Linked DNA regions of Tamandua tetradactyla. Each later gene encodes a partner of the first gene's protein in a complex. Links are inferred from orthologs where the notes say so. Each region holds a gene or a part of one and is shown in the gene's direction. Other genes may lie near its edges. The genes, in order: OGT, RBL2, KRT7 and ZNF831.

Region 1 (7,293 bases):
ATTACCTTTTATGCATCTGCCTTTCAGATCCTGTAGGAAGTAAAAAGCGAAGTTACAAACCAAAAATAAAATAGTACTAGAATTTATATTTACTCATGTTATTACCCTCACTGGAGATCTTTATTTCTTCCTGTGGCTTCAATCTATGGTCCATTATCTTTTCCTTTCAACCTATAGAACTCTTTTAGCATCTTTTGTAGGGCCTGTCTGGTGGTGATGAATTCCCTCAGCTTCTGTTTGTCTGGGAATGAGTTAATCCCTCCTGTTCTAGTTTGCTAGCTGCCAGAATGCAATATACCAGAAACAGAATGGCTTCTAAAAAGAGGAATTTTATAAGTTGTTAGTTTACTGTTCTAAGGCCGAGGTAATGTCCCAATTAAAGCAAGTCTACAGAAATGTCCAATCAAAGACATCCAGAGAAAGACACCTTGGTTCAAGAAGGCCGATGAAGCTCATGGAGAACACAGTCACAGTTTCTCTCTCGGCTGGAAGGGCACATGGTGAGCAAGGCATTATCTGCTAGCTTTCTCTCTGGGCTTCCTGTGTCATGAAGCTCCCTGGGAGGCATTTTCCTTCTTCATCTCCAAAGGCCGCTGGCTTGTGGGCTCTCTGCTTCTCGTGGCTATGTCATTCTGCTCTGCTCTCTCTGACTCTCTTATTCTCCAAAATGCTTCCTCTTTTATAGGACTCCAGTAAACCAATCAAGACCCACTCAAATGGGTGGAGACACATCTCCCCTAATCCAGTTTAACAACCACTCTTGATTAGTTTACATCTCCAGGGAGATGATATAATTACAAACAGTATTGAACAGGGATTTTTCTGCATCTACGAAATGGGATTTTGATTAAAACATGGCTTTTCTAGGGTACATACATCCTTTCAAACCAGCACATCTCTCTTATTTCTGAAAGACAGCTTTGCCAGATACAAAATTCTTGGTTGGCAATATTTTTTGCTTTCAGCACTTTAAACATGTCACCCCACTGCCTTCTTGCCTCCATGGTTTCCAATGAGAAATTTGCACTTAATCTTATTGAGGCTCCCTTGTACCATGACTTGTTGCTTCTCTTTTGTGGCTTTCAAAATACTCTTTTTATCGTTGGCATTCAACAGTTTGATTATAGTATGTCTCAGCAGGGGTTTATCATGTTTAGAATTTGTTGAGCTTTTTGGATGTGTATATTTATGTCTTTTGTTAAATTTGAAGTTTGCAGCTATTACTTCCTGAAATATTCTCATTGTCCCTTTCTCTTTTCTCCCTCTGGGATTTCCACAATGCATAGTTAGTATGCCTGATGGTGCCCCACAGGTTCCTCAGGCTCTGTTTGTTTTTCTTCATTCTTTCTTCCTTCTGCTCCTCAGACTGGATGATTTCCATTGTCTTATCATTAAATTCCCTGATTATTTCTTCTGCCAGCTCCAATCTGTTGAACCCTTCTAGAAATTTTTAAACTTCTGTTATTATGGTCTTCTGCTCTGGATTGATGCGTTTTCATAATTTCCATCTCTATATTGATATTTTTTGTGTTCCCCTATTGCTTTCCTGATTTCCTTTAGTTCCTTGTTCATGTTTGCCTTTAGGTCTTTGAGAATATTTGGGACCATTTTTAAAAAGTTTTTGTCTGGTGTGTCCCAGGTCTGGTCCTCCTCACTGATGGTATCTAATGCTTTAATCTTCTTTACCTGGGCCATTGCTTGCTGTTTCTTTTATGTTTTGTAATCTTTTCTGAAACTTGGACATTTGATATTTTAATGTGTTATCTCTGAAATTTAAACTCTAGGCATCTGCTCCTTCAAATTTTATCCAACTAGTGTTATGACTGAGTTTTCCTTGAATGGCAGGACCTAACAAAAAAAAAAAAGCAGGGGGAGGGGGAAGAAGGAAAAAAAGAAAACACCTTTCCCAGACTTTGCAGATTGACCTGTGCAAGTGCCTTCCTTTGGGGTTTATCTATACAATGGGATGTATGGGAATAGCTGAAGGCTAAAGCATAGGGGCCTTACAGACTCTTTCTGCACCTGTGTCTTGTCTGGGGCATGCACGTATGGCCCTAGGAATTCCCTTGTTTACTGGGTTAGGAATGTCCCCTCTCCCCTATGAAACAGTTTCCTCAGGGTCCGGGACTACATTGTCTGTCCTACAGCCCGTGATCCCTTGCCTCAGGCAGCAGGATTTGACTGTTTTCCCACAGCAATCTGTGGGAGAGCTCTGTGAGCTGCCTTCTACACACAGCGCAAGTTCTGGAGCACTGAGACGCTCAGACCACCACCAGATAGACTGAAACAAAACAGACATGCTCCCAGCATGTGCACCGGGGCGGGCCGCCCTCTCTCTCAAGAACTGGGACTCGGATTCACACTGAGCGAATGGCCCACCAACTCCGCTGCTTAGCCAGTGAGGGGTAGGGGGAGGTTCCAGCCAGGGAAAGAGGATATCCAACCGCTTTTTAAGTGGCCCTTTTCTTGATTCCATGCTTACCCTGTTACTGCATGTTACTACAATCCTTTAACTGATTTCTGGAGCCCTAAGAAAGATGTTTTCATCAGGGGATTTTCTCTAGTGAGCCACTGTGAGCCCCACCTTCCAGTTTTGCATGGTAGCAAAACGTATCATAACATCTTCGGACTCTTCTCTCAGGATAGGGAACTTTAAACCACAAGTATGGATGGGCCAAATGATTGGGAGCATGACCTGGCATTTAACAACAATAAGAGTTTGGCTTAATTGGCTAGCACCCACTAATCAGTAAGGCCTAAACATCTGCCAGTGGAATTTGAGAAGTCTGGTTTAAAAGTTGAAAAGCTGAGTTTATTCACCACATATGGGGCACTGGTAGTGGGAGGGGAAGCACCATCAACAAAAGCCCAATTTCTAGGAGAGTTTGTGCAGTGAACTTTGTCTTTTTTACTGCGTGATGTTACTCTTGATTACGGGATGGAAGAAATTACCAACATTATGATACTTACAGGGCTGAGAATTATTCTCTGTGCTCATATCCATAATTAACAGTTTGTGGACTGTCTGGAAGAAATTGAAGCGTTGCTCAAGGACTTTCTTTCTTTTTTAACGTAGTAGAAACTTTTTGAAGAAATTCACTGACCTGTTTTCTTAGATCAAGGACTAAACAAAATGGCACAGAGACTCAACTTGTTACCTCCAGTGGCTTATAATAGTTTCTTGCTGATAGGAAAAGCTACCTTAAATCCTTTCTAGAACAAACTATGAGGTATAAATGAATACTAATGTTACAAAATATCTAATCAGTGGACTTGAGACTCAGGAGGATTTGTAAGAGCTCATTTGCTTATGGAAGTGGAGGTAATTCAGACTCAAATTACATGTGTGGTGCAGATAAATGGCAAGTGAATTCATTTATCATTTCTGAATTGCATCAAGCGCAATGCAATCACAGATTGTGAGGATTTGCAGACCTATTTTGTGGAAATGAAGTCACAACTCAGAAGAGAGTCAGATTTTGAACGGTAGGAATCATATTTAAGTAGGAATCATATTTAACATTTTATGGCTGCCTTTGGGGTGCGAACTGTAAGGTTGTCCCTGAGTTAATTATCTACCCTATTGCTGTAGGCAGAACTATTCTGAATATCAAAACTATTTGGAAATTTCGGGCTATATAGCCAAAATCTGAGATGTTTGGGTTCATTTGGCCATGCGAATGTATCAGTCTTTTTTCATCAAAACGTTTGAATCAATTGCTGGAGTCAGAATTATGACGTGTTCAAATTGGAAAAGCTTCCCCCAACGTTTTGACGAACAGTTCAATCTTCAAAAATTCAATCACAATTTTATTTGTTTGGAATCGATGCACGACTAGTAATTCTCAGCCTTGTAAGTATTCATTTTCGTATGAATAAAGCTGATGTAAACTTTTTAAGCCTCCTTTGACATTTCTATTAAAATCTACATTATTGGCTAGGTAACAGGTTACACTTGGCACTTTTCACTTTGGCAAAAATGGATGCGCTTTTTAAACCTTCTGCTTCACTATTTAAAAACAAAACGAAACCAAACCAAACGAAACGAACAAAACAAAACTTGGACGCTCCTGCCCTAGACGGTGCCCTAGCCAGCCCGAGTCAGGTTGACAGGGTTGCTCGCATGCGCTGTCGACGCAATCGTGTTTGTCGCAATGGGCCCTGCGCGGAAGGTTACACAATAGCAAGCGACTTTGATTATAGTCATTTTGTCTGTAGCGCTGGTTACCGCGCTACCTCCGCACTGGTACTTGATTGTAACAGAAAGTAGTTCCGGCCCGTGTTGTTTCGGCCGAGGAGCAGTAGCCGCCATTTCAAGACTGTGAGAGGTAGATAGCTAACTATAGTTCCTAAGGTTCGAAGTCTGTAACTGCTGCCGCTGTTTAAGCCTTCCAAAGTACTGGTACTGTTGTTGCCCTCTTACCACTACCTCCAGAAACATTCTTGCTAGTAGCGGCGGCAGCGGGACCCACTTACCCCTCCTCGCCCTCCCCCAAGAAGCTCCAGATGGCGTCTTCCGTGGGCAACGTGGCCGACAGCACAGGTACCAGTGTCCCGTTCTACCTTGGCAGACGCCCCTTCGGGGTCTCGTGCTGTTTCCCCCCTCTCCTCCTTCCCTCCCTTCTAGCCACCCTCGTTGCATCAGTGGTATTGCGTTAGCTTGTCGTGGTCTACCGGCATCTGATGGGTTTTTCCTCCGTCTTCTCCTCCTTAAGCATTTCTTCCTCCTTCCTTTCTCGCTTGTTTTCTGCTTCCTTGTTCCCCTTTTCAATCCCATAAATGTTCTAGCCTTCTACACTCTCGGGACACTTCTCCCACCAGTGCGCTGTAAGGATGTCTCGGAACGGACTGCGTTGGAATCCCTGCCCTTTCACTGTCCTTCCCAACCATTTTCTGCCCTCATTCCAGCTCACCGCTCGCTGCTCTTCCCTCTCCACGGCCCTTTCCAACCCTTTCAAGCCCTTAACCCGATTTGGGTTGTCAGTCTACGGCAGGGGTGCCATTCCGATGTAAACGCATCCCCATTTTGCAGCACCCAAGGACGAGCGAAAGCTCGCCGATGTGCTTACAAGGAACCTCGAGAAAACGGGACCTTGAGTAAGCAGCACCCCGCTGAGGCAGCTGCGCCTTTCTAGTCTGCTTTCGGTCGAGTGGGGGCCCGGTCTGGATTGGAAATTTCCAGGCGTTCTCTGCAATCGCCCAAATCCGCACGCTGCCCCCCCACCCCCACAGCCTGCCTTGCCATCCAGTGCCCCCTCCGCTCCCCTCCCGCAGGGAACCACACCCTTCCCTTCGCGACGTTGCCAGCCCTGCGGTCCAGTTTCTATCCTTGGGGCAGAAACCACCCCGGTGCTATTGCTTTGGTGTTGACCGCACTGCGTTCGGGAATCTCGCTTTGTTGTGACTTTCTCCTTGTATTCCTCCGCCGCCGCCTTCTGGGTCTTCCATCCCCATTCTTTAGCCTCGCATCTCCTTATTCACAGGGTGGATCTCTCTCTCTCTTTTTTTTAATATATATTTTAAGTTTTCATCCCTGCTTGAAGAGTTTGTAAAGCCACTGGAGTGTAGCTGCACAAGTGCCAGGCGGTTGCCCGTTTAGATAATCGAGTCGAGAGCATTTTGTGTTCAAAATTTACAAAACATCCAAATTGTAGGAGTTTCGCTTCGGCTGCCTTTCCCCATAGGGGCTATTTGGGGAGGAGGAAGGAGGAGAGGATTGGGCCGCGGTCCTGATATTTCCCACGAGGTTATTTTTTGATATTTCTCGGTTGATATGTGTAGAGGGTTTTTATTATTTTTGGACATTGGACGGTAAATGATAAATGGATCTTCAATTCCCTGTTATCCATAATTATAGGTAGTGAGATTAATAAATAGTCACTGTTCTACCCCTCCTCCCCACAGTGATTTTTAAAGATAAAAGATTCTGCACTTGCTTGCCTTTTTTTGTGTGTTTTATTTGAGGTAGTCGTCATTTCAAGTGTTAAAGTTAGCAGAGGAGCCACTTGGAAAAGTGATAAAGTAATGCATTAAATTAAGGAGCTAGGAAGGTCTAGAGACTTCTCTAAAATGTAATTTTCTGTGCTCTTGAAGAGAAAGTCTCCCCATTTCGATACAGGTCTCTCTGCTTTTACGTATACATGGTCAGCGGTACATTCTGTCAGGAAATTTACTTTGCTTTCCTTAGTATCCAGAACACACTTTAATGATCGAGAAGTGAGACTCCAATTTGAGTTTGTCTCTGTGTCCTTGGTGGAGTTTAGGTAATTTCCTTAGTTTCCCAATCCAACAATCTATGCATGTTTGTGGGAGTGCTATGGTCAAATTTCCGATAATATATCATCACTGTTTAAATAAGTATTTACAATGAAGACTTAGGCCTTGTTTGTTTTTCTCTCTCTAGGCCTTAACTATATTCTTATCTTTGTACCTAAATTAAGTCACCTGCATACAGCAAAGGCTTTTATTTATTGTTTATTCTGTTGAGCTTTAACAAATGTTATATATTTTAGTATTTTCCCATTTTTTTAAAATTATTATAGTTGTAGGTAACTGCCTGGTTTATATAGAATTGTTTACAATACCTTGATTCTTTAGTCAGTGCCACAGCACTTTGGAAAATGCTAGTGTTAAACCAGTGTGGGTGGGATTTCGCTAACTTAGTATCTTTGTGAGTTTGGGTTGGTAGAGGAGTAATGTAACTCTGGGTCTTTATTTAAAATGTTTATGACCCCTTTAAAATATTTTAGCTCTTGACAGATGGATTTATCTTGTTTATCAGCTATTTTAAAAATAGCACCTGACTTTGAGTTTTTTCCTTTTGCTTCTTTCTAGTGTTGCCCTTGCTTAAAAATATATATATTATGAACTAAACAAACACATCAATATAAAGAGTAAAAACAAAATAAATATCTGAGTCCCCACCTAGGTTAGATGGTTACCAGTTATCCACTCCTTTACGCCTACCAAATCCAACCTAAAACATGATGGAAAGTATTGTTTCTCAGATGGTTGTTCTGACATTACTAAATCTTTATCACCTTTCAAAATCACGTTTTATACTTTGTTTCTATATGTTAACTAAGGTATAAGGAATAATGTTTAGTTACTCTTTAAATGTTACCTACATTTAACATTTATAATGTTATAAATGAGTTTATAATTTAAGAGTACAAAAAATATTTTTGTACTCTTGTTCAAAAAATGTAATATAGTTTGAAAGTAAATATTCCTATCTAGTTTGGGAAAGAAAGTATTAATGGATGAATTCTGAAAATGCCAATTCTGCACCTG
Region 2 (6,946 bases), on another chromosome or scaffold:
AAAGAAATATCAATATAATGATTCAGAAGTCATACTCATTTGTTAAATCCTGTCTTCTCTGTTATAATCTTCTTTCTCTCTCTCTCTTTTTTTTTTTTGGTGAAAAATAGCATATATATATATAAAAAGCAATAAATTTCAAAGCACATCACCACAATTAGTTGTAGAATAGATTTGAGAGTTTGGTATGGGTTACAATTCTACAATTTTAGGTTTTATTTCTAGCTGCTCTAAAACAAATATCAATATAATGATTCAGCAGTCAAACTCATTTGTTAAACCTGACCATCTTTGTATAAATCCACCATCACCTTTGATCTTTCTCCCACTCTTTAGCGGTATTAGGGCTATGCCCATTCTAACTTTTTCATGTCGGAAGGGGCTGTTGATATTATGGGATAGAGAGACGGAACTAGTTGATGTTCTGGAGAGGCTGGCCCCTCTGCATTACAGGACTTATCTGGTCCAGGGACCCACCTGGAGGTTGTAGGTTTCTAGGAAGTTACTCTAGCGCATGGAACTTTTGTAGTCTTATAAACACCCTAGGTGTTCTTTAATATTGGCAGAAATGGTTTTGGTTGGAGTTTGGCAAGCTATGCTAGGTAGCAATGTCTAACTGAAACATGACTAAGAGTGACCTCCAGAGTAGGTTCTTGACTCAATTTGAACTCTCTCAGCTGCTGAAACCTTATTTGTTACACTTCTTTTCCCCTTTTGGCCAGGATGGCATTGTTGATCCCACAGAGCCAGAGCCAGACTCAGCCTTGGGAGTCATCTCCCACACCACTAGGGAGACTTTCATTCCTGGATGTCATGTCCCATATTGGGGGGGCGGGGGGCGGACAATGTTTTCACTTGCAGAGTGGGGCTTAGAGAGAGTGAGGCCACATTTGAGCAACAAAAGAGGTCTTCCAGACGTGGCTCTTAGGCATACCTATAGGTAGGCTAAGCTTCTCTGCTACATACAGAAGCTTCACAAGAGCAAGGCTCAAGATCAAGGGCTTGGCCTATTGATTTGGGTGTTCCTAATGTTTGACACAGTATCCGGGGTTTCCCTGGAGGTAAAGTTTAATAGCTTCATATTTTTTTCTCCCATTCCTCAAGGGGCTTTGCCAGTACTTTTTGATTACCTACTTAATATACTCTGGGATGTATCCTGGCATTACATTAAGCTATACAGGATTCAAGACTCTCATTCTTATTCTGGGCTCCCTGTGTGTGGATTGTTTAAATGAGTTATCTGAGCTAGATTATGTGCTACTGAAAATTTAGGTTCTGGACAAAATAAACCTTTCTTCTTTTGGTCTCAAAGAGCAGGTGAAGTTCTAAAATATAGGCAATTTCTTCCTTACCCCTGTATTCTGAATTATCTTAATCACAACCTGATCAGCTTTGTTCTTATCTCTAAAAAACAGGTTATACATATATAAAACAGCCCCTCAATGTCCAGAAATAACAATCACCACTCCAGACTAACTGCTATAAAAGCTTATAATCTAGGCCCCAGTTTTCTTATAACTATTTTCTAAATGAGACCATACGATATTTACTCTTTGGTTTCTTGTTGTGGCCATGTTTTGAACATACAATCTGCAACCAATTCTCTTGAAAATACTGATGTTAAATATTTTTAAACATTTTATTGTGGAATATAACATATATACAAAAAAGCAATAAATTTCAAAGTATACTGTAACAAGTAGTCATTTAATAGATTTCAGGGTTGGTATGGGTTACTGTCCCACAATTTTAGGTTTTTCCTTCTAGCTGCTCCAAGACACCGGAGACTAAAAGAAATATTAATATAATGATTCCACAGTCATACTCATTTGTTAAATCCTATCCTCTATTATAACTCCTTGCGTTAGTTTGCTAGCTGCCAGAATGCGATATACCAGAACTGGAACAGCTTTTACCAAAGGGGAATTTAATAAGTTACAAGTCTACAGTTCTAAGGAAGAGAAAGCGTCCAAATTAAGGCACCAACAAGAGATTACCTTCACTCAAGAAAGGCTGATACTGTTTGGAACAGCTCTGTCAGCTGGGAAGTCACATGGCTGGCGTCTGCTGGTCCCTAGCTCCTGTGCTTTGTCGTTTTCAACCTCTGTTCCTGTGGGGGCTCCTCACTTTGCTTCTCCAGGGCTGGCTCTCATCTCTTGACTTCCCTTGGCTCTCTTTAGGTTCTGACTTGCTTAACATCTCATGGCATTTCCATATCCATGTTTTCTGCCTGTCAACTCTGCTCTGAAGTTTCCGTCTGCTCTGTCATTTCTGACTCTTACGTTTCCTCTTTTAAAGGATTCCAGTACACTAATTAAGACTCACCTGGAATGAGTGGGGTCACATCTCCATTTAATCAAAAGGTCATGTCCACAATTGGGCGTGACACATCTCTGTAGAGATATTCTAATCAAAAGTTTCCAACATACCGGATTAAATGAAACAGCTGCCCCAACAAGACTGAATCAAGATTAAAACATGGCTTTTCTGGGGGAACATAATATTTTCAAACCAGCACACTCCTCCTCTTTTGATCCTTTTCCCAATCTTTAGGGGTATTTGGGTTATGCCCATTCTAACTTTTTCATGTTGGAAAGTGGTGTCAATAGTATGGGATCAGGGGATGGAACTAGTTGATTTTCTTGGAGAGGCTGGCCCCTCTGAGTTTCAGGACTTATCTGGCCTAGGATTCCAATTACAGGTTGTAGGTTTCTGGAAAGTAATTTAGTATGTTCAGAGAACATTTTAACAATTAGTTATAGAACAGATTTCAAAGTTTGGTATAGGTTACAGTTTCACAATTTTAAGTTTTGCTTCTAACTGCTCCAAGACACTGGAGACTAAAAAGAAATATTAATATAACCATATTAAAATAAATCATATTCTAATAAAATACATATGTAATGGGAATAAAGTTTAAATTCTACTAAAAATAGTGAAGTTCATTTTACTTCAATAAACAATTCAAGTTTTACCCCTGGTAAAGTGTGATAATAGTATACAAAATAAGTAAGATCATTATTTTAAAATTTAGTATCTCCATCCTAAATATAAGGAAAGAGAACTTTTACAAACTTCTTTCAAATGCGTGTAAACTGTTTGTGTAGGGCTTCTATTCTTGTCCCAGAGTCACCTTGAAACTGAGCATTGACAAAGCAAATTCAGTCCTAAAAGGGTCACTAATTAATGTGAATTTTACCTCAGGTTTCACAGAGAGGGTTTCATTGTCTCCAAACTGTCCCTAAGGTGTCTTGTTATCTAGCCAAGTCTCCCCTCTCTATCCTCTCTCCTCCCCCTATATCTTCCATAACTCCTTTTTTTTTGTCCCAAGCAGTTTAGTTCTCTACCTCAGTTTACATACCACACTGCGCAAAGCAAAAATAGCAAGACAGCAATTCTTATTTAATACACACACACACACACACACATACGCACACACACACACACACACACACAGCTTTATATAAAGTTAAACCAACTGGGTGGCTGAGAGTAGTACACATATGTGAGTTAGACGGAATGTAAAGTCACCCTATGGAAAAAAAATAATTTCTGCATTAAAAAAAATCCAATAGCTACTTTAAAGGCTCACATAAAATTAAAACATAGGATAAAACTAGAAATTAGGAGCGGAGTGGAGATTTGAATTTAGGCAAATAAGCCCTTGCTGTTATCTTAATTTTTTAGATAAAGAAACCCAGGTTACGAGGAGTTATGATTTCTAGGGACAGCTTGAACATTAAACCTTCATTGTCAACGTTTCTTGGACATTTTCTTTTTCTCTCTGCTAGATGGTCTCGCCGTGGAGAGGCACTTAAAACGCGGAGAAACCCTTTTGCCCAGGGGTGACGACACAAGTTTTTTACGTAATTTTTGGCCCACATAAGCCTCCGGACTGGACTACATTTCCCAGCAGGCCGTGCTCACAACTACTGGAGCCCATAAGAGGTCCCGCGCCGTTGGTAGCAGCGCAGTCGTGGAGAGAGCGACTGACGGGCGGGCGCTTCACGGTTTGAATGGCTCTGGGTCCTGGCCCTCGACTATCCTGAGGACCAGCCGCCCTGGGGTGCGATATGCCGTCTGGAGGCGACGAGTCGCCGCCGCCCCCGCCTCCCCCGCCGGCGGCCGCGGCCTCAGAGGCTGAGGAGGAGGACGACGACGGTGAGGCGGGGGAAGTCGCGCAGCCGGCCGGATCGCCGGCCACTCAGACCCAGCGGCGGTTCGACGAGCTGTGCAGCCGCCTGAACATGGACGAGGCGGCGCGGGCGGAGGCCTGGGACAGCTACCGGAACATGAGCGAGAGCTACACGCTGGAGGTTCGTCTGTGCGAGGAGGCGAGGGGGCTCTCGGGGCCTAGTGGTTGTGTCCCGCTCCGGAGATGGGGCCCCGCCTTCTCACCCCGGACGGGGCGACCCGCAGGGACCCGAGGAGAGGCCCCGGGCGCCCAGCCTGGAGCGGGATGGGAATCCTTTCTGCCCACTGTAGTCTTGGAAATTAGGCTTTTAAAAGTCTCTTAGCGGCTCTGAGGGTGAATCTGGTCTTGCTGCTCTTTCCTCTTGGCTCAGAATGGGAAACACGTCTTGTCCTTAAGTAAAACGGCGAGGCTGAGGTTGTACTGCAGTCACCATTACAGAAATGGGCCTGTGTGGTCGTTTTGCAGCCCTGAGTACCCGATTGGCAGAATGAACATGTGTGGTTGTCAACACTGTACTGAGAAGGGAAGGAAGGGGATTTGCCCAGGTTCGCTCAGCGTTTGATCCGATTTTAGCGCCTTAGGTCTCTAGGCTTCTCCTCCACTTCTTTTCCTGTTGTACCAAATTGCTTTCATTGAGGCATCGAATCGTTTGAATTAATGTATTGTTAAATTTCGTGCCGTGTTTATGTACGGTAGTAAGACTAATCTTCCTTAGGTCAAGTTAAATGAACTTTTTGCCTACCGGGATATAGAAGCACGCCCCCACTAATCACCAGTGAGTCAGAGCTGCGACTGCTCTGAGGATCTTTTTTGGTCACCTCAGACATTGCACAGGACATGTCATGACCCAGGCATGTCATGTCTCTTTCTTCGTATGGGTCGCACAGATGGGAAAAATGGTCATTTAGCCAGTAATCGTCAACTGAGCAGGCGGTCTCCTCTTTTTGGGCCGAATGGAAAGTGGTACGGAAGTCCGGGTGGTTTATCAGCTGTTTCACTGCCCGTGTGTCTGGCGTTTACACATGAGGCCATTTGTTTTTCTTAAGTTGTTTCATATGCGGTTTGTGGAAAGAGTAGGGCAAATAGGCCCAGGGTGTGAAGATCTACGTTATTATTTAACTCGGTTGTGTTTTTGCCTAAAGTGTAATTGCTGACAAAGGTTATTTTTTTAAAAAATTTTATTGCATTAATAGAATTTTATTTCATCTACTACCCCCTCTTCCCCTTTGTTATATCTACCGAAAGATAGAGTAATATACTTGGGGATTTGACAGACCTAGATGACTTGAGACAAAACTGCTACAAAATTCAAATTTGTGATAAATAAACGGTAGTTATTTTTACCTACCTCACAGAGCTTTTCTGAAGGTTAAATAAGGTAATGTGTGTTCCTGGTACATAGTAGGCACTCATATGGACAGTGCTTTAGATCTTACAGAGTTCTTTCATGTACTCAATGATATGGCTGGAAAGACCATGCTTTTCTTTATCTCTCAGTGCTTTCTGTCCTTTGGTCTGGCAAAGAGGACTCCTTTTTTTTTTTTTTTTAATTTGATCAGGGCCTAAGGACCTCCAAGAAGCTCTTATTTTACCCTCAGGATAATCCTGCAAATTAGGTACAGCCAGCATTATCACCATACTGTAGAACTATTCCGATATATAAAGGTTAAGTTTTATGAAGGCCAGCATTATGTAAGTGCATAGCAGATAGGAGGTAAATTATTTTTGAAAACACATTCTATTACTTGAGTTTTTGAAAAGACTCCAGTTTCAGTTTCTTAGCTCAGTTTACCCAGTTAATGCATGAAACTCCATCCATTTATCAAATATTTCTTTGTTTTGTGTACACTGTTTTAGGTACTGAGGATAAAGCAATGAAGAAAACTGGTAAAAATTCCTACTATGGTGGACATTATATTTAGATATGATGTGAGATAACATGGAATGTCATTCTCATGGAGTGTACAAAGGAAAATAAAGCTCACATGATATTTAATACAGAATACTGGTTATAGAGTTGTACTTTTTGATTGCTTGTATTTTCTGAGCTTTATGATTAATTCATTTAATTCTCATTATCCTTAGGTAAGAAAACTGAACCTAAGAAGTTTTCCCAAGGTGTTGTAAATATATGGCAGAACCGGAATTCAAACCCAGATCTACTTGACCCCATAGGTGTATGACCATGAGTTGTTAATTTTGAGAGTGACGCCTTTTTTTGGTGGAGGAGGGGAGTTGTGGGCATCAGGGGCTTTTCAACAAACATTTTTTAGGACCAAAGGGAAACCAGGTACGGAGCCTGCTTTTAACCTGTCTGTAGCCTAGTAGACCTACATTAATTAAGAAATAGGTCCTCAGTCTACTTTGTTCTTTAAGCACTATAAAATTATAATATGTAAGACTAATTTTGTTTCTTCTTTTTGGGAATGATATGGTTGTAAATTCCCTAGAACCAAAATAGACCATTAAAAATCATCTACTGCAAACCTTTCATTAAAACACAGGATAATGCTGTGACTTAATTTTATATTAATAAGATATGTGGATGTAAGAGAGAGAAGTTCAGTTGTAAATTAAATTTTGTTTTGACTTTTTGTTTTGAAATATTTTAAACTTGTACAATAATAAAATAATACAAACCGCATACAAAGAACTCCACCATACCTCATCCTTCTCCCCCAATACCCAGATCCACCAGTTTAAACTTTTTTTTGCCATACTTGTTATATCATTCTGTCTATCCATCAGTGT
Region 3 (7,404 bases), on another chromosome or scaffold:
AAATATATGAATTTAAGGTATTAACAAGATGACACCTGGACTCTGAAGAAAGGCTGCTGGCATCTGGGGTTCCTCTGTCAGCTGGCAAGGCATGTGGCTGGCATCTGCTGATCCTTGATCCCAGTTTATTGCCTTCAGCTTCTGCTTCCAGTGGCTTCCTTTCTGTGTCCTGCAGGTCTTCTCTTAGCATCTCAGGGACATTTCTCTAAGTGTCTGTAGGTCCTCTCTTAGTTTCTCTGGGGCAAACTCTGGATTTCATCTTTTAGCTTCTCTCAGGCTAACCTGTCTATAAGTTCTGGGTCCTTCAGGTTCTGTGGGTCCTAGCTTAGCATCTCCCTGGGCATGTCTGTCTGAACTTTCTCCAAAATGCCTCTCTCTTAAAGGGTTCCAGTAAGTGGATGAAGACCCACCTTGAATGGGTGGGGTCACATCTCCATGCAAACAACCTAATCAAAAGTTCCCACCCAACAATCGGTCTGGCCCCACAAGATTGGATTAAAAGAACATGTCCTGGCTTGTCCTGAAATGGCTGACTATTTTCATGTTTGGTTAACTCCTCACATGGAGCAATATTCTCTGGGGACTCATTTCCCAAAAGCTCAGAGTTTTCTAAACTATCATTTTACTGTTTCTTTGTATCCGAGAGTTCAGTTCTCAGCTTATTCCTTTCCTCTTGCATTTTACTATAAACTGGAAGGAGAAGCCAGGCTGTATTTTCCATATTTAAATTTGGAAATCTCCAGCTCATCACTTTCAAATTCTACCTTCCATCTGACATCAGGACTCAATTTTTCCGAGTTCTCTGCCACTTTGAAGCAAGGGTTGCCTTTCTTCCAGTTTGCAACAACACACCCATTATTTCTGTCTAAGGCCTCATTGTAAGTATCTTTAACGTCAGTATTTCTACCAACAGTCTCTTGAAAGCAATCTAGGCCTTTTTGATCAAGCTCCTCACAATTCTTCCAGAAACTTCCCCTTATGGATTTATAAAGCTGTTCCAGCATGTTTGGAATTTGCAAATTGCAGTACTCCATTTCTCTGGTACCAAGATCTGTTTTGGTTTGCTAAAGCTGCCAGAAAGCAATATACCAGAAGTGGGTTGGCTTTTAATAACGGAATTCATTAATTTACAATTCTAAGGCTGTGAAAATGTACATATTAAGGCATCAACAAACGGATACCTTCTCTGAGGAAAGGCCGCTATCATCCGCTGTCACATGGGAAGGTACATGGCAGTATCTGCTGGTCCTTTTCTCCCAGGGTCAGCTCTGGGTTCAGTGGCTTTCTCTCTCAGCTCCTGTGGGTCCTTTCCTGGTATTGCCCAGGCATGTCTCTCTAAGATCTCTGGGCTTTTACTCATTCGTAGTGTTCACAAAGGACTACAGTAAAGGACTGAGACCCCTCTTAAATGGGCTGGGTCACATCTCAATTGAAATAGCCTAAGCAAAAGGTCCCACGCACAATAGGTCTGCCCCCACAAGAGTGGACTAAAAGAACATGGTCTTTCCTGGGGTACATAACAGATTCAAACCGAGCACACAAGTTTTCACATTCCAAGATGATGAAAAAAAAATCAGTCTTATATATATATATATTTTTAGGAATCAGAGGACATACTTTTATGGGATGGACAACAAAGAATGGTTCTGAAAGTGCAGCAGAGAGCAAAAAAGAATGTCTTCCCCACCTCCCTAGGGGAGGCAGGGCAAGTCTCACCTTGGAGGGCTGTGGGCCTGGTGTCTGAGCAGGTCTCCAGGAAGCAGAGAAGGGCTGAGGAACTGGGGTAGCTTGTTTGTTCATAGCTGGGTTCCAGAGGGCACAGTGGGGGGGGGGGCAGGGAGAGGGAGTGTGCGTGCTTGATGGGGGTGTACAGGATGCCGCAGAGATGGAATATGCCTCTGTGGTAGGACTGCTTGGGAAGAGGCTTTATAGGATTAAATCATCTCACGATTCTGTCCAGAGTCTCATAAGGAGGTTTCTGTGAGGCCCACAGGGGCATGGGCTGGCGATGGGAGACCACACTGGGTGACGCACAGGACAGTGAGCTCCTGTGGGACAGGAACTCGATCTCTGGCCTCTGGGTGCTGATGGTTTCTAGCAAAGCTTTCCAGAGGGTGTTTATGCGTGGCACCTGGTACTAAGCGGGCTCCTAGTGTTGGCCTGTGAACACAGAGACAAGAGAAACTGGCGAGGGCTGAAGCTGCCAGGAATGTTTCCTGGAGGGGATAGAGAGGCCAGGAGCAGACAGAGGGCAGGCCTGGAATGGGGATCTGCTACTTGAGGGGAGGCTGGAGCCTGGACCCAAGAAGTCCAGAGATCCCTTTTCCTTTGCAGTGTTCTCTCACCCAGCTTCCTCTACAAACTCTGCCCCCTTGCAGGTGTTAGGTAAGTGGAAGGGTCCACAGACATATGGAGCCAAGGGTTTTCATTGTTGGGGAAGAAACTGTGTCCAAGGCAGGTAGAGTGACTTGTCCAGGCTTTCAAGGTGGGTCACCAAGAGTTCCCTGGCAAAGATCTCTCCTGGGAGGTTCTAGGGGAGAAGAGGACGGGGGCGGGGTTTGGGTGGGGCATTTCTGGATGGGTGGGGAGCAACTTCCAGAGTGCAGATTCCAGGGGAGGGCTGAAGTGGGGAGAGGGGCAGGTGGCAGAATTGGGCGCACAAATCATGTGGGCTGATATGCAGATGGGATGGGGACGGGAGTGGAGGAGGAGCCCTGAGGGCTAAAGAAGTTGGAATGTGTGTGTGGGTATGTGTGTGTGAATTTAAAAACTGGTTTCCCTTTCTTTCTTGGTGGTCAGGAGGAGGGGGTTGGGATCCCCGTGGCTGCAAATACATCGCAGGGCCAGAAATCTGTATGGTCTTCACGGTACAATTGAGAATTCGAGATCACATCACACACACAAGCACTCACACCTGCAGAAGATGCCACTCAAGGTCTCTGCGGATGTTCCTCTGCCTCTGGGCCAAGCTGTCCCAAAATCAATAGAGGGGGGCAGAGGGAGAGAAGGAATGGGGGCGCATGGGCTTTCAGAGATCACCAAACAGGAGCTGCCGCACAGTCCACTCACTGGAAGTCCTTCTTGTCTAACTGAAATACAAAACAGGAAGGACATTCCATTCCCTACCCTCCTCCTCCTAGGACTCCCTCAAGGGCTTGGTCGGATGTGACCACTGGCCAGCGCATCGGGTGGGGCTAAGGGTGGGTTAAGGTGACAGGCCTGGCAGGTGTCTTTTCCAAAGTTTCCTCTGGGCGCCCCTCAATCTGGGTCTGGGAAGAATAGGGGCAGGGCAGTATAGAGGGTGTGGCATGCGTGGCTCAGAAGCTACTGGGAAGTAAGGCCAGCACTCAGCGTTAACTGTTTCAGCACAATGTTTGCCCCCTTTTGGGCTGGGATTGAAACTTGGGAATTATTTGGTGGTGGTGGCTTCAGGTGGGGGAGGTCCCTCAGATGAGCGACTCTGGGTGGCAGAGCTGGGAGGGAGTGTTTGAGTGCAAATACAGTCATATGCACACAGAGATGCATATGTGTGCAGTTGTGTGTCTGCAGACACCCCCATCACATACACATGCTCACACAGACTCCCGCTCAAGTAAGCAAGCTCACAGACACATGCACACGTATACCTAGGAGTGTAGCACAAGGGAAGCCCAGTGGCCTGCAGGCCAAAGGTGAGTACACACAGAAGTGTACACACATCCTCCAAGTGTCACATATACACACAGGTGTTCCCTTTTTCTATAGGGGCAGATAAGTGGGCAGGGATGTGACCTGGGGGTTGCAGGGGGCATAGGCCCAGGGTAAGCATTCCCATCGTGGACGGGAAGTGGGTGCGTGCTCCATCAGCCTAGAGTCTACGGAGAAGTGAGCTGAGGGGGATGTGACCAGGGGAACCAGCTAGGTTGGCCGGCCACCCTGAGGTCACATTACTCAAGAACTGAGCTGGACTTGTGGGGGTGTGGGGAGGGGCATCTCTGGACACTGACTTTCTGGCTTTCAGTAGCCTGGGGAGCCTGGGCTCTGACTCCAGGCCCTGAAACTTTTGTGTTTACCCTTCCCCATTCTCTCACCACTTGGTCTCTCCCGCCCAAGCCTCCTCGGGGAAGCCTTCCTTGAATGAGCCCGTCTTCGAAGGACTCTGATTGCTGTCTCTCATTGTTCTTAAGAGTGTCTGCCTAAATCCGGGGGGCTGGGGGGTTTATGCCATTGCACGCCCGGGACCCGGCTCGGCTCGGAACGGTTCCTGCTAGAACTGAGAGCCTGACCGGGGTGGGGTGGGTGGCGCGGAGGGCGGAAGCTCGGTCCCAGCAGCGGCCAGGCCGGCAGAGAAAGGTGGCCCGCGGCCAGCCCCGCCCCTACCTGTGTAAGCCGATCCCTCGGTGCCCAGCGGATAAAAGGGGCTGTGTCTCGGAAGGTCAGAGAGTTCGCGCTCGTCCTCAGTTAGATTCACTGCGATCCAGCCACCATGTCCATCCAGTTCAGCTCCCAGGTCTTCAGCTCGCGGTCCGCCTCCTTACCCGGGCGCGGCGCGCAGGTGCGCCTGAGCCCGGGCCGCCCCGTGGGCTTCAGCAGCAGCAGCCTCTTGGGCCTGGGCGTCTCGCGGCCGCGTGGGGCTCTGCACTCCGCCTATGGGGGCCCGGTGGGCGCCGGCATCCGCGAGGTCACGATCAATCAGAGCCTGCTGGCCCCGCTGCGGGTGGACATCGACCCTTCCATCCAGCAGCTGCGCCAGGAGGAGCGCGAGCAGATCAAGGCCCTCAACAACAAGTTCGCTTCCTTCATCGACAAGGTGAGCCCGGCACAGACCCTGCCTGGATCCACACCCCAGGCCACCTCTGCTGCCCTAACCTTGCCAGTACAGGCTAGGAACTGGGACCCCTGGTGCCATTCCCTTTTTGCCAGTATGGGGCTGCTCCACCCACTCTGTCGCTGTGTCCACTTCTGTCTCCAACTCGCTCTCCTCCAGTAAGCTGCCCCAGTCCCCCCTCCATTTCTTCCCAGAAGATGTGCCTGGGTGCTGGCTGGCTGGCTGTGAATCTGTGTGGGTCCTTGGGGCCATTTTTTGTCACCAGTATCAGGCTGGAAGCTCCAGAGCACAGGGCCAGCTGCAGGTCATTTTCCCTGAGAGCAGGGCTGTGTGGAGTCAGGGATGGGGAGACACGCCCTTCTCAGCCGATGAGTCCCTGACATCCCTCCGATGCTGCCGAGACTGAGGCAGATGCTGGAAATAAAGGGCTGGAGAAGGGAGGCTCCAGGTCACACCTCTCCGGCATGTCTTGTCCTTGAGCCTCATCTTGGTGGTAGCTGGTGAGATTAAACCTGCTCTTGGAGATGGCCCAATGGGGGACAGGAAGGGGACACTGAGAGACCCTGGGGAAGGGCCATTTGGGAGGTGCTTTTCCTGGCTGTTTGCACCTGCCCCACACTGGTCCCGCTGGTAGACAGATGTGACTGATGGGTGTGGGAGGACTGGGGGCAAAGTGGGGCTGGACCCAGGCACTTAAAGCTGGCCCCGTTGTGCCCCTCCTGCCAGGACCCCTTCAAGTGGCTTAGCCTAGGCTTTCCTTCTCCTGCCTTTCCCTCTTCTCCTGACCTCACCTATCCTCCAGGTCTCCAACCTTCCCAGGGTGCCCTGACCCCCGTGGGTGGGTGCCCCACCTTTCCTGCTGGTGAGCTGCACTGTTTTACCATCTGCAGCCCTCAGGTTCTCTGCCCCGAATTCCTGGTTTCTCTTGCCTCCCACCCTCAGTCACACTGGGGTTCTGGAAGGGCCTTTTTGGGCCCCAGGGTTGGGCAAATGGTTGGCCACGTAGTAAGTGCCCATTTTACATTGGATTGATGGTAGAGCCCTGTCTTGAGAACTTGTTGGAGGAAAGGGGAGGAGAGAGGGACACAGAAGAAGGTGGACATGAGGCCCCATCAGCCCCAGGACATAGGGATATGAGCGGGGCAGCCCTGCTGAGGAGATAGAGAAGGTCACTTGTAATGCAGTGAGGGGACAAAGGAGGGAGGAGACGCTAAGCACTTTTTTTTTGAGAAACAAGCACCAGGGATATATCAGTAAGTAAGGCAGACCTGGTCCTTTGCTCATACTCTAGGACCCCTAAGACAGAAAATCCTGGAGGAGAGGGTTATTCCGAATGATCTGCCTGAAGGAGAAGGGAGAGAGCTGGGAGCCAAGGTCTGGGGAACAGCCAGTGGGAACCCGGGCCCTCCTGGGTGTCTAGAGGCCACCTCCATCTCTGCTGTAGGGGATACCGTTGAGGCGCCTTGTGAGTCTTCTCCTTTATCTCCTTTCTAGGTGCGGTTCCTGGAGCAGCAGAACAAGCTGCTGGAGACCAAGTGGGCGCTGCTGCAGGAGCAGAAGTTGGCTAAGAGCAGCCACCTCCCGAGTATCTTTGAGGCTCACATCTCTGGCCTGCGGCGGCAGCTGGACACCCTGCAGGCGGACGGGGGCCGCTTGGAGGCGGAGCTGCGGACTATGCAGGATGTGGTGGACAACTTCAAGAATAAGTAAAGGCCCCCAGTGCGACCTGCGGGGATCCCTGTCCCTGGGCAGCGTGCCCCTCATCAGATGACCCCTCTGCCAGTCCCTCCTGGGTCAGGGGTCAGAGGGTATGGGGGCTCAGGACAATGCCTCCCTGAAAGGAAGGTTGTCACATTGTCCTTGGCCTCTTGTCTCCCACCTCTTTGTCTCTGGGAGCTGTTTCCCAGCCATTCTGATCTTTTCTCCTGACTTAGTCCCAGTGAAATATCTCAGCCCAGTCCTGCGTTCCCTTTGGGTGTCTCACGTAAGGCTCTGAGAGAGGGACAGGGAGAAGGTGTCCTAGGACAGGTGTGCTTCAGAACCAGCATGACCCTCACAGATTATTCTAGAACAGCTCCATATTGCTCGGGTGAGGGACTAGGGAACAGAGAGGCTCAGGGACTTGACTGAGGCCACATGGCAAATCAGAGGGAGAGCTGGGCCTTGAATTTTGGGCTCTGGAGACCCAGGAGGAGAAGTGGGGCAGGTTTGGGAAGGAAATAAGCAAAGAGGGAGGGTGATCATTGTGAGCATGGGAGAAGTTGTAGGAAATGAGAAGTGTATCTGGTCAGGACAAGAACCAGAAAGGAGGCCATGAGGTAGGGCAGGGAGTAAAGGGGCCAGAAAGTGTGGGGTTCTAAGGACGGGCCTTGGAAGTGCCCCTGAGGTCTCTTTTCTCATTGTATAGAAACCAAAGCCTGAGGCTTGGGCTGGGCCCCACCCTGCCATACCTGCCTAGTGGGCTCTGGAGGCAGCAAGAAGAGAAAGTTCTGTGCTCTGCCTGGGGGTACATGACTAAGCCGGAGCAGGTACACAGGCTCAGACTGCAGGAGAGCAAACAAGGCCTATGACAGGGTGTGACCCTCCCCCCCAATTCC
Region 4 (7,949 bases), on another chromosome or scaffold:
TAAGGGTGTGCAGACAGATAATTGCCTGGGGTGCTTGTCCAGTGACATTCCCGGGGGTGGCGGGAGGTAGCACTTTTCAGTATGAGCTGAGAATAGTAGCCATTGGCTCGGAGTCATACACCCATGGAGGGACCCCTATTCTGGGGAGCTCACCAGGCCAAGGTCCTGATGACAAACCCCTTTTGACTACGGAGCCAGCATCCAGGGGTCAGAACGGGGACCCAAACCTAAAGAGAGAATGGGCTTCAGTGAAAGGCAGGGCACTGTCCCCGACAGCCTTTCCCCAGCAGCCTGCATGATGGCACCTGGCATTGAAGCGAGACCCGGGTTTGGAGCCTTTGGCCCCGCCAGGCAGGTCCCACGTAGTCTTCTCTCCGAGCAAGGCCTGGCTTCAGCTCGGTAGATTGAGGGATTTGATTCAGTTAGTCCTGCCTCAGGTGTGGACAAGGGCAGGGGCGTATGTGGCCAGGGCTGTTTGAGGGCGTGGCAGAGGCCTGAGAAATGGGGCTCCACCAGTACACATGACATGGGCTGGGCCACTCAGGGGCAGGATGGAGCAGCGGGACAGGAGAAGGCTGCAAGCCATCCCTCCCATCCGTTCTGAAGAGAAGAGCTGATCCCATGGCTTGACCTGTCTTACATGACCTTGGCTTTTTATGAATTGTGTTCCCACAAAAGACATATTCCCCCAACCCCCAGGACCTCAGAATGAGACCTTATTTGGAAATAGAGTCTTTGATATGTGCCGAATTAAAATGTGGCCAAAGCGGAGTAGGACTGGTGTTTTAGTTTGCTAAAAGCTGCTGGAATGCAATATACCAGAAATGGAATGGCTTTTATAAAGGGGATTTATTAAGTTACACATTTACAATTCTAAGACCAAATTATGGCATTCGGAGAAAGATTCCTTGACTTAAGAAAGCCTGATGTCTGTCTCGTGAGAAGGCATGTGGCCGGCGTCTGCTGGTCCTTGTTCCTGGTTCCATTGCTTCCAGTTTCTGATGCCAGTGGTTTCCTCTCTAGGTGTCTGTGGCCCTTCACTTAGCTCTGCGGGGACCCAACTCTGGGTTCTGTCATGCTTATCATCTCATGGGAAGGCCCATGGTGACATCTGCTGGGCTCTACCTCTCTAAATATCCATGTCTAGGATCTCTGTCTCTCTCCCTCTCTCTCTCCCTCTCCCTCTCCCTCTCCCTCTCCCCCTCTCCCCCTCTCCCCCTCTCCTCCTTTCCCCCCTCCCCCCCCACTCCTAACATCTCCATATATCTGCATCTGTCAGCTCTGAACCAACTGTGTTTCCTCCAAAATGTTCCCTCTTTTAAAGGACTCCAGAAGATGAATGAAGACCCACCTTGAATGGGCAGTCACATCTCCATCTAATCAAAAGGCCACGCCCACAATTGAATGGACCAGTCTTCATGGAAACAATCCAAAGTTTCCACCCTACCATACTGAATCAAGACTAAAGAATGTGGCTTTTCTGGGGTATGCAACAGTTTCAGCGGGCATAGCTGGCCTTTAATCTGTCATGACTGGTATCCTCGCAGAAGGGGAGGTCTGGATGCAGACAGGGGAGAAGGTCCTGTCATGGGCAGAGTTGGAAGCCAAAGATTGCTGGCACCCACCGGAAGCCACAGGAAACTAGGAAGAAGCCAGGGAAGATTCTCCCCTAAGGATTTCAGACAATGAGACAGTGCATGTCTTTGTTTGAAGCCACCGAGTTTGTGGTACTTTGTTAAGATGCATGGTGTGTACAAGAGTATTTTAAAAAAAAAATCACCTGTCTACTCACATTCACTTATTTAACCCACGCTTTTGGGATGGTGACTCTGCCAGGCTCTGTTCTAGGCACTGTCTGGTCCTTTGAAGAGGACCACGGCGGGTGTGGGAGGGAAAAGGCAGGCAGCAGGAAGTGGTGAGAGGGACGGGCCTCCGGAGGAGCCCAGAGAGGCTGCCCCTAGATCAACTCCTGCTTTGACTCATCCAGCCCCTGCACCCTGCTCCCCAGGGCCCCACTTTCCTGCTCAGACCCAACCACGCGCTCAGCCCCGGGAGGATCAGGTGGCCCTGCTCTTAGTTTCAGAAAGGGGTTGTAGTCGCTCGTGCGACTGTGCATTTGGGGACTGGGGAGGGTCCTAGGACCGAAACCCAAAGGCAGCGATCATTCTGTTCTCTCTCTGGCCGTAGCTTCTTGGGGCAGCACTGACCTTGAGTGAGCTGCCCTCCCCACCTGTGTCTCCCTTGTCGCCTCTGGTTTTGCTGGCTAATGTTGTCGTCTCTGGCTTTGCTGGTTTTAATTGCAATGCTCGGGGTTGCTTTGTTGTAAAGCAGACTGCGCTTTGCCAAAGGAGCCTTGCTCTTGGCAAGTGAGTGATTTATCTTTTTTTGTTGTTCCCTTAAGGAGAAAAAAAAAAGAGTGGTCAAAGAAGACAAGTTAAGAATTCTTTGGAAATTATTTTTCTTTTTCTTTGGTGACTATTGCCACGGGCTTAGCGCGTGGGTCACCTGTTGCGTGCTCTCGAGAGTTGTGTGATAAGATGGTGCTTAGAAAAATTAGAAGGGAGGAAATTTGCTTATCTATTATATTGAGACATAATTCACATACCATAGAATTTATCCTTTTCAAGTGTACAAGTCTGTGATTTTTAGTATATTCATAAGGTTGTGCAGCCATCACCACTAACTTTAGAACGTTCTCATTACTCCTAAGAGTGAGTCCCCATTAGTAGTCACACCCCATCTTTCCCCCTCCCTGGCCCCTGGCAACCACTGATCTACTTCCTGTCACTCGACATTTGCCTTTTCTGGACATTTCTTATAAATGGAATCATATAATATGTGGTCTTTCACTTAGCATCTTGCTTTTCAGGTTTATCCATGTTGGAGCATGCATCAGAACTTAATTCTTTTGAATTGTCAACTCCGTTGTATGGATATACCATATTTTATTTATCCATTCATCTGTTGAAATATTTGATTTTAATCCATGCTAAAGTTTTTAAGTAGCTCTGGTGCAGGAAGCTTTTCGTATTAATTTATCTTAATAAAGTGCATGAAGGCAGCAATTTTGGACAAAGGAGGCAGAGTGGAGGCTTTTGGTTTCAGGAAGTGGCAAGCCGCTCTTTCCTGAAGATGTCCTTGGTTAAGTGGGTGAACTGCTGGCCCCGGCGCCCTGCGAGGAGTGGTGCTTGGGGCCTCCCTGTTCAGCCTTCTCCCCACCTCTCCTCCACCATAGCGCTGTACCCCTAAACTTTCCTCCTTAGAAGCTTTTTGGGGTTTTCCCCCAATCCGGGAGGAAGTCTGGTCTCTTCAGCCCCTCTTTCCAGATACCCCCTCTCCCTCCCCAGCTTCCCTGTGGCAGAACACTCCCAGGTCCCTGACACTGCTGGGTTCTTTCAGACCTCCCAGCTTGGCTCGAATTATTTCTTCTGTTCCTCAGACTCTTAGGTAACTTTCAATGCCCAGTGTTGGCATTTCCACTAGGGCTTCCCCAAACCCTCTTCCTCTGGATTCCTATATTGCTTTGTTTATATGCCTGCTATGGCCTGGGGAGATGTTTAAATATTTAACTATAGGTAAGGGGCAGACACCCCTAAAACAGAGTGGGTGCTGGTCTCAGAGCTGGAGCAGGCCCCAGTGTTGGCCACTTCCTCTCTGATTGCTGGGTCATAGGGAGGTCTGCGGTCCCAGAGAGAAGAGCAGGGATCCACGCCAATCTGAGCCACTGGGTTCTTCTAAGGTCCAGCGCAGTTGGGGGCGCACTCTGCCCAGTGAAACGACCCCAAAACCCGACTTAGCTGAAGGCAGGCCACGACCAGCTGGATATTATTGATGGCAGAGTGGGGCACAGACACATCCTCCTCCCAGTGAAAATGAACCCATTTGAGAACACTGGAAAATGGCCTGCAATAGTGAATGCACTCCCGCTCTCTGCACAGCCAGTTTTGCATCTAACCTGTCCTGACCCACAAATTAGTTTCTCTCTGCTAGCTAATATTCTGCACTAGAGAGTTTCCCCCACTCAGCCACCACTACTTAAAATAATTGTATTTTTCAATGAGCTGAAGAGTAATCACCTTACATCTCACCCAGATTGGCTCCTTCCAGAGTCACAGGGAGCAGAGCTGGGACTAGGTGAGGACAGTGCACTTGCCTTGGGTGCAAAACTAAGGGGGCACCCAAAACCGTAGTAATCAAGATAATATGTATTTTTATAAAAAAAAAATTTGGGGGGTAGTTTGGTGGTAAGCACACACCAAAACCACAAAATTTCCCATTTGAACCATTTTTCACTGGGCAGTTCACCAGGATTAATTCTCCTTTTGGTGCTACCATCAGCAGCAGCCATTACCAAAACTTTTTAGTCCTTCAAACAAAGACACTGTTCCCATTAAGCAATAACTCTCCATTCTCCACCTCCCGAGCCCCTGGTGACCCTCTAACCTATTTTCTGTCTCTGTGAATTTGCCTATTCTAGGTATTTGATATAAGTGGAATCTTACAGCATTTGTCCTTATGTGTCTGGCTTATTTCACTCATCATAATGATTTTAAGGTTCATCCCTGCTATATCAGAGCTCCATTTCTTTTCATGGCTGAATGATATTCCATGGTATGGATAGACCGTATTTTGTTTATTCATCTTTCGAGGGACCCTTCCCGTGAGTGTTGGGGTACAAGTATCTGTTTTTTTAATTCTTTGGGGTATATGCCTAGGAGTGGTATTGTCAGGTCATGTGGTAATTCTATGTTTAGCCTCCTCAGGGATGCAATCAAGGTGATATTTTGATGTAATGCTTTAAAAATGAAAATTAATGCAAATAAGCCCATGATGAACAAAACATCAAAAATTTAAATAAAGATAGAATCTCAGAGGACCTTGGCTGGGAGACCCCTACCACCATCAAATGCAATGGACGGACACGTGGACCCTCGGGCACTCCCACGGTTACACGTGGCAACTCTGCAAGTGCTCACTCCAACCACGGAGCCAGGCAAATAGCCACCTGCTCTAATTTTTAATAGCCTGCACAGAACGGCGCATCTCTAAGGCACTGTGTGCACGCCTACGCCTCTGGGCAGCTGCCTCTGTTTATGGGTTGTTAGATCAATAATCACAATTACTGAGCAAGTCTCTGAGCTGTGGCTCTTATTCTTTCCTCTGCTTCTGTTTCTTCCTGTTTTCTGAAGGTTGCTACTGTGCATTAAGTCATGTATAGAAAATAATTTACTTCCTATTTCTGAGCCAGCCCAAGTTTCATCTCTGCTTGAGTCTCCTTCTTGAGGCTGAGAGACATGGTGCTTTTCTCAGTTAAACACAGAGTTGACTCAGAGGCCGAGCAATGGGAGGCCTTCCTCTTTCCTTTTCTGGGTGCATATGCAACATCTGTCCCCTGAGACGCTGCCTGCAGAGTAGGGCCTGGTGGAAGACGCTGAGATGCCTTCTCAGCCCAGGAGCAGGCTCCCCACGGGGCGTGCAAGGAGGAGCCCTGGGGCTCTGTTCTCCTCTGGGTGGCAAGCTCTGTTGTCCCTTTTGGGTGGCTGGATGTCTTCTCAGGCTCACACCAGGTCATTTGCGTTTGAATGGGAACATCTTTGGCTGAAAAGACACCACTCTTCATAAAGGTAGGTAACATGCTCCATGATGGCAGTATATCTCAGTTGCTAGTTAAAAAAAGAAACCAGCTCTTTTATCCCATGGTCTTAATGATATATTTGCCTTCAGACATGCAGTGTGAAAGTAAAAGCTCTGTAAAGCTTGGCATCACCCATTTCAATAGTTCTCTTGTGTGCTTAACACCGCTGTTGTTTTTGTCAAAATATTTACTGCAATTCATAATGACTGTCAGAATCCAGGTCCACACTCCATGTTCTCCTAAACATACAAACAAAACCCATCAGGAAATTTGTTGCTTCATAAACAGGTTTTTAAGATGATAGACCTAATTAAACCGAAGGTGTGACTTGGTTAGAAACATCGATTATTTAGCCCCCAAATTTTGAAAACAAAATATACAGTACAATCTACTATATCAAGAAAGTCTTTGATAGAGATGCTGTTTATGGCAGTTTGCACTGATCGGCTACTCGAAGGTAGCATTTTTCAGTGAGATTTATAGGGGCCAGGGGACCATGTATTTTTCCCCAGAGTTGGCTTCCCAGTATCCAAAATAGCTGCGAGCTGAAGGCTATCGCAGATGAGTGGCAGAGGCCATGTTCTGAGAGGTAATGTGCTTCTCCTTTCCTGTAGCAAATCTTTCTGTAAGAATGAAACAAGAGATGTTATCTGCCCCGCGGCAGTAAGAGACGGGGCGCAACTTAGAAAAATGATAGCATCAGCTCACTGGGAAAAGCAGAGCGAACAGCAGGACCGGCTTAAAATAACGGGCCTTTCACCCTGTCGCTGCAGCTGACAGCGGGTCTCTCTGCTAACAAGGCTGATACTGATGAGGGCACATGTCTCCTCCGCTGCAACCTCATGGCCTGGGTGGGTGAAGATACCCAGAAGCCAGGGAATGAAGATCTGGGAAGTCAGGACAGGGACGGTCAGGGGACGCATCACGGACCTGGACCACCCCAAAGGGCGCAGGTGGCAGTGGCCTGGTTGCCGAGGGGAAACACGGTCACCGTGCAGGGCGGAGGGGCACCTGCAGGGGAGACCTCTGGGGGGCTGGCTGTGCCGAGTCAGTGCCTCGCCCAGAGTGGGCACGCAGCCCTACAGCAGCCACGCTCACATTCGGGGACGGGCGTTCCCCGTCTCAGTCCTCTCCCTCTTGACTTATCTCCTTTTCTATTTTGATGGGTTCATCTTTTCGTCTTGAGATCATGATAGATGCATGTGCTGCTATAAGGAATGATGCAGTGATCTGTGGCACGGTTGCCACCAAGGCCTTGAAGATCACCCTCAGAATATTTTGGCACTGATAGCACTCTTTTCCATGAGGAGCCTTCCTGCCACAGCCCCCCAGCCTCTCCCCTGACTCCTGCCCTCCACCTCCATCCCTCCTGCAGACCATTAAATAAATGGAATCGGGATAGGCTTTTTTCACTCAGCAGAATTCTCTGGAGAGTCATCCAAGTTGTCGCAGATATCGGTAGTTGGCTCCTTTTTATTGCTGCATAGTATTCCACTGAGTGGAATGGGACCACAGTTGGTTTGAGCATTCATTTGTCGAAGGACGTCTGGGCTGAGTGTCGTTGAGGCTGTCACAAGTAGAGCTGCTGTGAACATCCTTGTACAGGCTTTTGTGCAAACATGATTTTGGGATAGATGCCTATGAGTGCAACTGCTGGGTCAAATGGTACATGTGTGTTTAGTTTTGTTTTTGTTTTTTTTAACTGCCAAATTGTTTTCCAGAATGACTGTACTGCTTTACCTTACCACAGACAATGTCTGAGAGAAAGACACAGCTTCTCTGCATCCTCACCAGCATTTGGTGTTATCATTGCTTTTTATTTTAGCCATTTGATAGGTGTGTAGTGGTACTGCATTGGGGTTTTAATTTGTGTTTCTCTGATGGCTAATGATATTTAAAAATATTTTCATGTGCTTATTTCCTATCTGTTGAACCTCTTTGATGAGATGTCTCTTATTTTCTTTTATGCATTTTCTGATTGGATTTTTTGGGGTTTTTTTTACTGTTAAAATTTCATAATTCTTTATATATTCTAGATATGAGTTCTTTGTTGGATTTATGGCTTCCAAATATTTACTCCAAGCCTGTAGTTAGCATTTTCATCCTCTTATCAGGGCTTTCATAAAGCAAACACTTTTAATTTTTATGAGGTCCAGTTAATTCATTTTTTGCATTTATGGCTCATGCTTTTATTGTCAAGTCTAAGAGCTTTGCACCTAGCTCTATCTTGGAAAGTTTCTCCTATCTCTTCCTGAAGTTTTATAGTTTTTCCATTTACATCTAAGCCTGTTTTATGTCTTGAATTAATTTTTGT

Evidence for each region.
Region 2: the proteins of OGT (region 1) and RBL2 are in contact, whole or in part, in a crystal structure (PDB 4XI9), measured with the Homo sapiens proteins. The link is inferred for Tamandua tetradactyla from reciprocal best matches to the Homo sapiens genes OGT and RBL2. Residues at the interface, in NP_858058.1 of Homo sapiens: His506, His508, His509, Asn567, His568, Pro569, Tyr642, Thr643, Lys644, Gln849, Phe878, Val905, Ala906; in NP_001310537.1 of Homo sapiens: Thr417, Pro418, Val419, Ser420, Thr421, Ala422.
Region 3: the proteins of OGT (region 1) and KRT7 are in contact, whole or in part, in a crystal structure (PDB 4XIF), measured with the Homo sapiens proteins. The link is inferred for Tamandua tetradactyla from reciprocal best matches to the Homo sapiens genes OGT and KRT7. Residues at the interface, in NP_858058.1 of Homo sapiens: His506, His508, His509, Asn567, His568, Pro569, Tyr642, Thr643, Lys644, Gln849, Phe878, Val905, Ala906, Pro907; in NP_005547.3 of Homo sapiens: Val9, Phe10, Thr11, Ser12, Arg13, Ser14, Ala15.
Region 4: the proteins of OGT (region 1) and ZNF831 are in contact, whole or in part, in a crystal structure (PDB 8FUF), measured with the Homo sapiens proteins. The link is inferred for Tamandua tetradactyla from reciprocal best matches to the Homo sapiens genes OGT and ZNF831. Residues at the interface, in NP_858058.1 of Homo sapiens: Phe723, Ile734, Met779, Ile787, Ile790, Asn791, Arg792, Gly793, Leu808, Ala809, Thr831, Arg832, Ser833, Gln834, Tyr835, Gly836, Leu837, Pro838, Glu839, Arg877; in NP_001371283.1 of Homo sapiens: Phe937, Ser938, Pro939, Lys940, Tyr941, Leu942, Leu943, Arg944, Leu945, Pro946.

The regions. Positions count from the first base shown.
Region 1 is NC_135353.1:99,921,924-99,929,216, reverse strand, and holds the start of OGT (UDP-N-acetylglucosamine--peptide N-acetylglucosaminyltransferase 110 kDa subunit), read left to right. Parts: upstream 1-4,281; 5' UTR 4,282-4,506; coding exon 4,507-4,543; intron 4,544-7,293. UniProt on the Homo sapiens protein: Catalyzes the transfer of a single N-acetylglucosamine from UDP-GlcNAc to a serine or threonine residue in cytoplasmic and nuclear proteins resulting in their modification with a beta-linked N-acetylglucosamine (O-GlcNAc).
Region 2 is NC_135342.1:47,206,922-47,213,867, forward strand, and holds the start of RBL2 (retinoblastoma-like protein 2), read left to right. Parts: upstream 1-3,932; 5' UTR 3,933-4,073; coding exon 4,074-4,316; intron 4,317-6,946. UniProt on the Homo sapiens protein: Key regulator of entry into cell division. Directly involved in heterochromatin formation by maintaining overall chromatin structure and, in particular, that of constitutive heterochromatin by stabilizing histone methylation.
Region 3 is NC_135333.1:113,582,447-113,589,850, forward strand, and holds the start of KRT7 (keratin, type II cytoskeletal 7), read left to right. Parts: upstream 1-4,404; 5' UTR 4,405-4,465; coding exon 4,466-4,789; intron 4,790-6,301; coding exon 6,302-6,513; intron 6,514-7,404.
Region 4 is NC_135327.1:26,110,757-26,118,705, reverse strand, and holds the start of ZNF831 (zinc finger protein 831), read left to right. Parts: upstream 1-4,932; 5' UTR 4,933-5,624; intron 5,625-7,949.